3 linked regions of the Bombyx mori genome follow. The protein of the gene in region 3 purifies or fractionates together with the protein of the main gene of each other region. This does not show direct contact. Links are inferred from orthologs where the notes say so. Each region holds a gene or a part of one and is shown on either strand. Other genes may lie near its edges. The genes, in order: erythroid differentiation-related factor 1; protein HGH1 homolog; DNA polymerase interacting tetratricopeptide repeat-containing, protein of 47 kDa.

Evidence for each region.
Region 1: the proteins of DNA polymerase interacting tetratricopeptide repeat-containing, protein of 47 kDa (region 3) and erythroid differentiation-related factor 1 purify together in Homo sapiens (affinity purification with mass spectrometry; 3 studies listed by BioGRID and IntAct, counting the BioPlex papers as one, with this or other methods). This does not show direct contact. The link is inferred for Bombyx mori from reciprocal best matches to the Homo sapiens genes TTC4 and EDRF1.
Region 2: the proteins of DNA polymerase interacting tetratricopeptide repeat-containing, protein of 47 kDa (region 3) and protein HGH1 homolog purify together in Homo sapiens (co-immunoprecipitation; 4 studies listed by BioGRID and IntAct, counting the BioPlex papers as one, with this or other methods). This does not show direct contact. The link is inferred for Bombyx mori from reciprocal best matches to the Homo sapiens genes TTC4 and HGH1.

What each region holds. Positions count from the first base shown.
Region 1 is NC_085132.1:2,168,427-2,172,084, reverse strand, and holds part of erythroid differentiation-related factor 1, read right to left. Parts: intron 2,615-3,658; coding exon 1,816-2,614; intron 477-1,815; coding exon 318-476; intron 1-317. UniProt on the Homo sapiens protein: Transcription factor involved in erythroid differentiation. Involved in transcriptional activation of the globin gene.
Region 2 is NC_085117.1:1,010,692-1,014,071, forward strand, and holds protein HGH1 homolog, read left to right. Parts: upstream 1-1,432; 5' UTR 1,433-1,495; intron 1,496-1,578; 5' UTR 1,579-1,724; coding exon 1,725-2,810; 3' UTR 2,811-2,826; downstream 2,827-3,380.
Region 3 is NC_085126.1:4,843,205-4,847,368, reverse strand, and holds the start of DNA polymerase interacting tetratricopeptide repeat-containing, protein of 47 kDa, read right to left. Parts: upstream 2,901-4,164; 5' UTR 2,460-2,900; coding exon 2,307-2,459; intron 1,661-2,306; coding exon 1,470-1,660; intron 1,242-1,469; coding exon 944-1,241; intron 125-943; coding exon 1-124.

The sequences.
Region 1 (3,658 bases), on a different chromosome or scaffold from region 3:
AAAATGAATTGCTGTTCGTTAGTCTCGCTGAAACTCGAGAACGGCTGGACCGATTTGGCTAATTTTGGTCTTGAATTATTTGTGGAAGTCCAGAGAAGGTTTAAAATATATAATAAATATATATAAAAACAAACAATTTTGTTTTTCCTTTTGTTTGTTTTAAGTTTATTTTATACAAAAGCTTAGGTCTTTTATTTATCGATTGAGGTACTACGAAGTCTGCCGGGTCAGCTAGTACCTAATAAAAATTGTAAACTTTACCGTGCTTCAACTTCGAGTGACGATAAAAGTTCCCGGAATAGGCTAAGTGTACTCACGCTGGGCGTCGTTCATGTATCTGACGGCGAGCTCGTTAAGGACCGAGGCCAGTCTCCTCAGCAGCTCATCCCTCTTGTCGTGAGTGACCCTCACGGCGCGCCTGTAGTAGTCACACGACATAATCATCGCTGAGGTCTCGCTCGTCGGTAAGCTTATATCTGCGAAAGTTTTATTAATGACTTTGAAGTCGTGCAAGTCGAAGTGGCGCATTTGCGTCGTGGATGTCTATGGGCTCCAGTAACCACTTAACACCAGGTGTGCTGTGAGCTCGTCCACCCATCTAGGTAATAAAAAATAAATAAATAAAAACTAGCTGTACCGATCCGCTTCGCTGGGCATCTAAAATTAACATAATTATTTCCCTCACCCCCACAAAGACACTCATCATTAACGCCCCCGCAACTGGTGTAGAGAGTCCAACACTCATATAAATATTAGCCTATCCATTAAGTGCATGTATTTTCTACATGGATACCAAGTTTCAAGTCAATCGGATGCACGGTTCAGTAGTTATAACGGAACATCCGTAAAAACCACTGTAGATTTATATATTAGTATAGATAAATCAGGAGCAGAGGGCGCTAGTGGCGGGGAATCTAAGGGCCATCTGTTGTACTTCCCCGAGGTCGAACCCATTGGTCGTCGAAGCCTTATGACATGTTTTTTTTTTAAATTATTTATTGCATAAATGACTGGACGAGCTCGCCCGGTGTTAAATGGTTATCGGAGCCCATAGACATCTACAATGTAAATGCCGCCACCCACTTTGAGATATAAGTTCTAAGGTCTCAGTATAGTTACAACGGCTTTGAAGGGTGGGGTACCCTTCAAACCTAAACCAATGCATAACAATCACATTAAAAAAACCCATTACAAACACTACCATGTATTTGACACACACACGAATGCATACTATTTGTTTATTGTCAAACTTTTCTTATTGCTCTTAGTCTGTGGTCAAGTTGGGAATAGATTAAATATTATTGATCTTTATTAATATCGCCTAAATTGGCAAAATCTGTGATCATAGAAGTAGTCTTTGATAATTATAATAGTGTACAAACTTATAATTTCAACTAATTATAGTCGAATTTTGACTACCGGGAGGCCATTAGTTATCTGTAGAAAGGCAAAGGGTCTCACCTAGGTCAAAGAAAGGCAAAGAGTCTCACCTAGGTCAAAGAAAGGCAAAGGGACTCACCTAGGTTAAAGAAAGGCAAAGGGTCTCACCTAGGTCCAAGAAAGGCAAAGAGTCTCACCTAGGTTAAAGAAAGGCAAAGGGTCTCACCTAGGTCAAAGAAAGGCAAAGAGTCTCACCTAGGTCAAAGAAAGGCAAAGGGACTCACCTAGGTTAAAGAAAGGCAAAGGCAAAGGGTCTCACCTAGGTCAAAGAAAGGCAAAGAGTCTCACCTAGGTCAAAGAAAGGCAAAGGGACTCACCTAGGTTAAAGAAAGGCAAAGGGTCTCACCTAGGTCCAAGAAAGGCAAAGGGTCTCACCTAGGTCAAAGTCATCCGAAGCGACACCTTCAACCTCCTCGGTCATGTCGCTCTCGATCTCCGCCTTCAGCCCGCTGTCCGTGTCGTGGTCCGTCTCGAATTGCTTCCTGTACGTGTCTAGACTCCCCCAGTGCTTGCTCAGCTGAAAATAATTATCGCCCACCCTGCCCAGGAGGCAGCTGGCGTCCACCACTTTACTCTTGATGATCATGTTGCTCAGCAGCTTCTGGCACTTGGATGCTATATCGATGTACTTTAAGGAGAAGCCGTACTGCTCGTTGACGTAGCTGTACTCAGCGAGGGTGGCGCACGCTAAGCATATCTTCTCATACAGCAACGTTTTCAGATGTAGCTTCCAAGCAAAGTTGTCGTCCCTGTTCGGTTCGTGCCACGACGGAAACACTTTCTTCTCCTTCCGAATCAAAATGGCGTTCTTGTCTATGGGTTTCGTTTCCACTAACGAGCCACTCGTATCGGGCGGCTTTTCGCTCAACTTATTGGTCTTCTCGCTGTTCTTTCGGTCTCGTTTACGTCTCCGGCCCCGGGAGCGTTCTTTGAGCTCTTTATTGATTGGCTCGTAGTTCATTTTGATCGGTTCGTATGGGTTCGCCATTTTGGGGTGTTGTTCTTCGACGATGATCTGCTGCTTGAGTCGCTCCCTCTCCTCCTGCTTGCACTTGTCGATGGTGACGTTGTGCAGAGCTAGAAGCCCCCGCAGCGCGTGCAGGAGCGCCCGGCCGCAGCGCGCGGGCACGGCCACTCCCAGCCCGCTGGAGCCCGACGCCTTCCCTTTCTCCTCCTGGTGGTGGTCATATTTTTTATTTTTATTGCTTAGATGGGTGGACGAGCTCACAGCCTGGTGTTAAGTGGTTACTCGAGCCCATAGACATCTACGACGTAAATGCGCCACCCAGCTTGAGATGTAAGTTCTAAGGTCTCAAGTATAGTTACAGCGGCTGCCCCAACTTTCAAACCGAAACGCATTACTGCTTCACGGCAGAAATAGGCAGGGCGGTGGCACCTACCCGCGCAGACTCACAAGAGTTCCTACCACCAGTAATTACGCAAATTATAATTTAGCGGGTTTGGTTTTTATTACACGATGTTATGCCTTCACCGTGGAAGTCAATCGTGAACATTTATTGAGTACGTATTTCATTAGAAAAATTGGTACCCGCCTGCGGGATTCGAACACCGTTGCATCGCTACATACGAATGCACCGGACGTCTTATCGATTACAACGACTTCAGTTAAGGGTTGTCACTCTAAAACTTTCATACGTATCTCACGGAGTGCCATCCTTATAGTACTTTAATTTTTTAATTTACATAATACAATAGTATTTATGGTGTTCAATAAAGTAAAGACGAAATGGCGTTTCTCCTAAAAAAAACAACAAGATTTTTATTTACAAATTTTCACTGTATCTTGTACAAAAACGTTTATAGCTAACAATACTCACCTATAAAAAAAACAACAAGAAACAACATGAAATGCCTTTTCTTCAGGTTTAATTATTATTACAATAATTCTTTATCATACACAAAACTTTCTTTCACAACGTTTATTTAACCGAAAAAAATATTTTTTTTAACAACTGTCAGTTGTCATATGACAGATGACAGTGACATCTAATAATTAACGTTCAATCATTCAGTGAGTAAAGTGATTTTCCCTTGTCAACTCCCCTTTCGTTTATATTCTTAGTTCATTAATTAACCATAATAATATTAAGCTGTAGTTTGTCTGTCTGTTATCGAACTAACCCCTGTATATATATATTGTGTGCGTCTTATTAGTTTTAGGTAAATCAACAAAGATCCTGTCATCAAACATTCTTAG
Region 2 (3,380 bases), on a different chromosome or scaffold from region 3:
TCTATGTCAGCATTGCCCCTGAGGACAGAGTTTAACAAGAGACCCAGATATTTGAATTTCTTTACAAATGCAATCGGAACTTTCTTCAGAGTAATGGATGGTATTCTCATAGGGTACTTGGCTGCGGCCTCAAAGACCATGCATTTACTTTTTTTAAAGTTATACACTAGGCCATGACAGCTAACATACCTTTCACATATACGTAGGAGCCTCGCCAGTCCAAGGGAGACGCACTCAGCAGCACCATGTCATCAGCGTAACTAATATTATTGATATTGACACCTTCAACATGACAGCCGACATGTGTGCTGCTAAGCTCGCGAATCAGAGCATTAACGTACAGGTTAAAAAGCTTAGGGGAGGTCAATCCCCCCTGCCTCACCCCGCACTCCAGCCTGTACGGTTCAGACAGCGCTCCTGCCCATATCACAACGCTGACCTGGTTGCTGTACCAAAATTTAAAAATGCTATTTATTTCTGGTGGCACTTTGGTATCCTCCAGTTTTTTTCATAACATATCGTAGCAGACCAGATCAAACGCTTTCGACAGGTCAAGGAAGCACGCGTAAACTGGCGTCTTTCTATCGGTGTAGTATCTGACAGTCCGCTTTAGGCAAAAAAAAATGCACTTTCTGTTGAAAGACCCGGTCTAAAACTGGTTGTCGTGGAGTATTTTCTATTTCGGAACTAAATTTAAAATTGAAAATTTCAGATATTTTCTGGTTCACAAAATAAATAACTAAAACTATTACGGTGCCTTAAGCGTGTAGTAATGGCAACTTATTAATCGTTGAGGATCCGTGGAAGTGCACAAGTATGGGAAAGTGAGAAATTCCCAGAACGTGGCTTTTCAATTTCAATATATTAAGGTCAATTGAAGGGTCAGTCTCACAATTTTACTGGGAAAGTATTTAATTCCATCTTGACTCATCTCATCTAATTCCATTTTATTTCGTTCAATTATAATTAATGGCTTTCATATTAATCAACTTCTTTCATTACGTACTATTTCTTAAAGTAAATAAATATTTAATAAATAAATAGACACAACACTGTCAATAATGGCATCATAAGAAGCCAATTCCTCCTCGTATTCTTCACGGCTGAGGATTGTGACCATCCTTTTGTATCACCTTCACCAAAAGAAGCCAATTAACATACTGAAAAATACAAAAGTAATTTACATAAGAAACGTGCTTAATTCAAGTCTTAATCGGCTTTAATCAATAAAAATCTTAAATTTTACTGGATTAAAAAGACGATGTATAAGTGTTAAATCAAGGAAAAAATATCACACACGAATTTACTATTAAATAGGTACTTAGTCATACTCTTTATGCTACTTTTAAATGATTATTACAAACAGTTTTAAAATTTCGCGGCTATTTGCATTTAACATATTTAATTTAATGTCTAGACTATCCATGATCATGGCATTTGCAACACCGCCGAAATATCAGAAACTCATTAGAAATCAAAAATCATTGTAGAACCTGTTAATTACTGTTAAATAATGATGCCTGTAATGTATTTTTAACAGACTGAGCAAAATAAATGACCTTAGTCTGTGGATTTTAGTGGAGTAGATTTCATTGCTAACATGAAAAAAAAAACATCATTCCAAGATTTTGACAGGAAATTTTTGCTGTCAACAAATAGCGACACAAGAGATCGCGTCAACTGCGTAAGTTACAATAAATCAAATTTAAATCCTATTACACACAATGGCGCTCGATTCTTTCGACGAATTGATCGAATTCCTGAAACCAGAGTCCAGGATAGACTTGAGACACATATCCATGGACTATCTCGTCAGCCTATCGGGGACGGAAGACGGTGTTAACAAAATGCTTGAACACGAAAGAATCACTCAAGCCGTCATCGAATTAACGGACGACAGAATCAAAGAAATCGCTAAACACGCACTCCTGATGCTCGTTAACATATCTGCCTACACGCGTGGCGCTACAGAGCTTCTCAAATACAAGCCATTGCGCTATAAAAACATAATCGACCTACTCATTAGCTACGTATTGAATCCTAACAAAACTGACGCAGATGCCGCCTGTATGACCCTGTCGAACATCACGCGACTCGAAGACGAGCTGGAAGTCTGCCTGAACACTTTTATACCCCATCTAAACGATATCATGAACGCATTCGTGAACACAGAGTTTAACAAGACCGGTTCGAACCTGCATTACCTGGCGCCCATGTTTAGCAACCTGGCCTGCAGCCACAGAATAAGGAAGTGGCTCTGCGAAGAGAATCCCCATGTACCGTTAATAAAATTAATACCGTTCTGTAACTATGATGTGTCCAACATACGGAAGGGTGGTGCGATCGGTACAATACGTAATATATCATTCGACACAGACTACCACGAGTTCCTAGTGAGCCCGGACTTGGATCTGCTTACATACATTTTGTATCCCTTAATGGGCAACGAAGATTATCCTGATGACGAAATGGAAACACTCCCTGTTACTTTACAGTATTTACCAAAGGAGAAGCGGAGAGAGCCTGATATAGACATACGTATTCTGATACTGGAGACACTGAACAAATTGTGTGCTCAACGTAGAGGCAGACAGTATTTACGCGAGAACGGAGTGTACTATATAATGAGAGAATATCATAAATGGGAAAAAGACCCGAAAGCTTTGATAGCGTGTGAGAATGTAGTGGATATACTGATTCAGAAGGAAGACGAGGTCGGTGCGGAGGACCTGTCAACAGTAGAAGTACCTGAGGAATTGAGGGAAAGATTCAATAAAACCAATAGTGATTTTATGATGAATCTGCAATAAAGAATTATTAATCTAATTATTTTGTCTTTTTAAGTCCAATTAGATGCCTAAGGCGGAGAATGCTGTCTTAAGTCTGACGTCCATTCGAGCACTTAAGGGTTTCTATTGAGCCTCCCATGTTGATTTTATCTTTGTGTTTTATCAATTGTTCAGATACTTCCGTATAATTGATCCATTCAAGAATTAGTTTCTGTGTGACTGAAAACTATATTGAAATAAGGTTGAATCTTTGGCTGGTAGAAACTGCCTTAAACGTTAAGTCCCAAGAAGTGTAATTTAAAAAAAAAACAAGTCTGAACTGGATCTTGTAATTACTTTCATAGTAGATAAGATAATATGTATGTAAAATAGTACCAACTTATGCAGAAACGGACTGTTTAGAAACACTTGTGTTTTTACTAAATTTTAATTGCTTCAATTTTCAAATCAAATTATACACATATAAGCTAATGATAGTATAAAAGTTTATTTTTATTTATGGCCCATGTTAAGATTACAGAAACTGATGCATGTCATAGCTGTTACTTTTTTCAAATTTTTGTAAGCAGAATTGAAGTGGTTTAATCCAAA
Region 3 (4,164 bases):
CAATGTCATCTTCGTCATCACAATTGGATATTTTGATTCCTCGTTCTATTATGGCTTTGAGTACCGCGTCTTTTTGCTCCGTAATATTTTGTATATTACGAGCCTGTTTCCTTTGATCTCTTTCCTGGAAAAAAATATTATTGTAGCATACGTTAAAGAATTTGAAAAATTCTAAATGAAAACGGTACATACACATCGATAAAAAGGATTACAATATGTAGGTATCCAACCGAATATTCTTTGTAAGAGCATCGTCAAATGGACTAATAAAAAAGTAAAATAGACCTTATTACAATTACGCCTATAATATGTTGTTAAATGATATTAATTAGAAAGATAATTATCCCCTATAATCCCATAGATGTAAATATGTACATGTAAATTCATGGCCTATGTTTCGTGGCGTATTTACAGAACATATTATACCCCGCAAATAAATAGCTTTTCCTGCACTAAAAAATTTCATTAATTTAATCCATTGATGAAGTTTGCCTAATACATATTTAGTGTTTTATTAAAAATTTACTGGTTATGTGTTGCAAGGTTTTTTTTAATATTGCTTAGATGCGTGGACGAGCTCACAGCCCACCTGGTGTTAAGTGGTTACTGGAGCCCATAGACATCCACAACGTAAATGCGCAACGTAAAGGTGGGTACCTTGAGATATAAGTTCTAAGGTCTCAAGTATAGTCACAACGGCTGCCCCACCCTTCAAACCGAAACGCATTACTGCTTCACGGCAGAAATAAGCGGAGCGGTGGTACCTACCCGTGTGGACTCACAAGATGTCCTACCACCAGTAAGCTTAAGAGCTGATGAGATTATAACGGTATCATCTCGTGCTTATTTCTACTGCAAATAAATATTGTATTGATACTAGAGTTCAACTTCAAAAGCAATGAGGATTAATATTTCTAAATTTTAATGAAAGTAAAATAACTACCATTATTATTTTCTTTTTCTTAGCATTACTCAGGAGTTCAGAAATGTCCTTATCCTTTGTATTTTCTAAGATCTCTTCACAGTATTTTATACAGGTCTGGTACTTTGCTATTTGAAATGCTGACTTAGCAGCTCGTATTTTAGCTTTAGTATGATTAGAACTGAAAGATAACGCTTTTTCACTGTCTCCGAGTGCAGATCTGAAGTTCTTTAAATGCCAGTGGGCAGCAGCACGGTTGTTGTACAAACTGGCATTAATCTCAGCATTATCACATCTTTGTTTTATACCTTCGGTGTACCTAAGATAGAATATCAAAACTCAAACATAAAATATAACATTTTATCTTAAATTTCGACAGATTAACTCCCTTATCTGTAATTACATTCAATTAAACTAACCAAACAAGTCATGGACTTACTTAATGAAGACACATTAAAACAAAAAAACAAAATATTTGCAACAGTCCCAGTAAAGTAATTCTGAATTAAATTAATTTCATAAAGTAGCTATATATATTACAACTTACCCTAATATTGCAAGTCTATAATTCTTGTGTTTGAAATTGAAATTTCCATCCTCTTTGTAATTACTAGCTAGTTCAACAGGTGTGTTTTCTTCTGGATCAAACTTGAGATTTGCGAGACCCTCTGCCAGTGGAGAAAGCTCACCATTTTCAGGAGTTGACTTCATAAAAAATGGATGTTTGTCCATTTCCTCCTAAATAAATTGAGTAAATAGCCTATTAGAATCGGCTTTTGGTACAATAATTGTATAAAAGTTCAATGTTTTAAATGAGTCGATTATTATCAAAGCCGGCAATCTGACTTTTGGACAATGATTGGTAAATCAGAAAAACGAATTATTGACTTTGTATCCATTGGCAGTCACAAAACTCTTCGGAACGACATCTTAGATAAATAACAGGTTAACTATTAACCTTTATTTAATGCAGGTTTTGAACCGTATTCTTTGAAGGAGACGATTATATTCAAATCAATCTGTATTGACATATCAATAATTTTTTTTTGTCCAAATGCACAGATTGCCACCTTTGGTAATAGACGACTCAAATACATGTTTTATAATATATGTTGAACTTTTTCATCAAAAAAACAACATATCTTGAGTTCCTAAGCATATAGTGTGTTATGAAATTAAATTAGTTTTTTTGTTTTCGTCAATCAGCATACATTACTCAGAAACGTAACCATTAGTATACCGTTGCAAATGATTTTAATGTTTATTTTATTGTATTATAAAATTCAATTAAGGAAATCAAAATATATTTGATTACAATACAACTCACGTTCTCCTGTATAAAAACAACACTTTAAAAAGAGCAAACAAAATAGACACATATTACCTCCCATCTATCTTCAGGCCAACCCTCAGTATACCTCCTCTTTTCTAAGCTGTCTATAAAGTCATCTAGCTCTTTGTCTAGCTTCTGGCACAACTCTAATCTCTCCTCTTCGGTCATTGGGGATTTTACATCACTTTTATTAGCCTCGGCCATGATTTAGTTGCTTTTTAAATACAATAGTTTAACAAAACTTTCTCATTAATATCAGAAATCTGCTCCCTAAATATTGAACTTGTTCATTATTTTGTATCACAATAATGTATTTTTTGTTGAAAATTACTTTATTAAACGAACATGCTCTTTAATGTTTCATAAACATAACCCTATTAATTAACTACATAATTTTCAATGTTTATAAATCTCAATAACCTAAATTTTATTCCGTCTTTCAGACATTTGACAAAATTCAACGTTGACGCTTGACGTTTTCAATTATTATTGTCTTCCATTAAATCGTAGTTTTCCTAACACAAATGCCCGTATCTTTAGACGTTTCGTAAAATAGTCCTCCACTCTTAACTCATCCGATGATGCTCGAGAATTCCCTCCAAACATACTCGAGTTTGGTATTTTTAGTCGACCATTACAATATTCCTCAACTGTCCTCGAGTGAGGTAATAATGATGAAAATTTGATCAAGCTAGCATCAAACCCATAGAGTTCTGTAGTCTATGATCATTGTTTAATGTCAAAGCCAAGCTGCCGCTATCTCTTTGACACTAGATGAACCTGTTTGATGTTTTGGTTGCTGAGTTATTCGTAAATATGTGTGCGTGCGGTAAATCTGAAAGTGTATTATTTATTTTCTAACCTATTATTATTTTAGATTTCGGATCCGGCTTTGTATTTTTATTCGCCGCTTTTGTGTGATTTTGGTTGCATCGTATTGTTGAAGTGCTTTTCCACAACCACCAGTTTATTATTATATAAATAAAACTTATAATCGCATTGACTTTATTTATCAGGTAGTAAGCAAAATATGTTTGTTATGTAGGTAAATAAAATAAAGAGTTTCAAATGTCTAACCTCGAACTATTTACTTTATTAATAAATATTATCAAACTTAAATTATCAAAATATGCGGGAATCATGCACAGATCCAGGCCATTGCACAACAATATCATATATTTCCATTTGCGGTCCACAATCATAAACCTAAGAGATAGATAGATAGATACTATTTGGACATTGATAGAAAACCAGCCTTGAGGAACGTTCAAGGTACGTCGCGACGTACCTTGACTTGACAGTTCGCTTACTTCACTCCGGTTAGGAAAATTTTCCAAGGACGTTTGAGTGGAGTTTATTTTTACGACTAATCATACCAAAACGCGCGTTGGAGGTTGAGTCGAGTCGAGTTAAGCTCGTGTAAACGACTAAAGATACGGGTGTTACTCTCTATCAGCCCACAGACGTTTACTGCTGGACATAGGCCTCCTCAAGCCTCACTACAAAGATCGGCCCTGCACTACCTGCATCCAATGGATCCCCGTGAACCTCAATAGGAATGAGTAAATTTTGACGCAGCAGTCATGAATTCCAGTTTCAAAAGTGACATGTGATCGATAATAATGTTTTAAATCTACAGGTACATAAGGTTCTTTACTCTGTACTCCCTACAACAGTAATTAATCTTATGGCCTTGTTTAAATTACCTATACTATGAATTTTCCAACATCCCTCAAGATATAAACCTACTAGTGGCCCGCTTCGGCTTCGCTCGGGTCTTTAACAAAAGTTTTAGTAAGGATCCCTAATTTTTGTTAAAAAAAAATAACCTATGTTACTCGGAGATAATGTAGCTTCCAAACAGTGAAAGAATTTTTCAAATCGATTCAGTAGTTTCGGAGCCTATTCA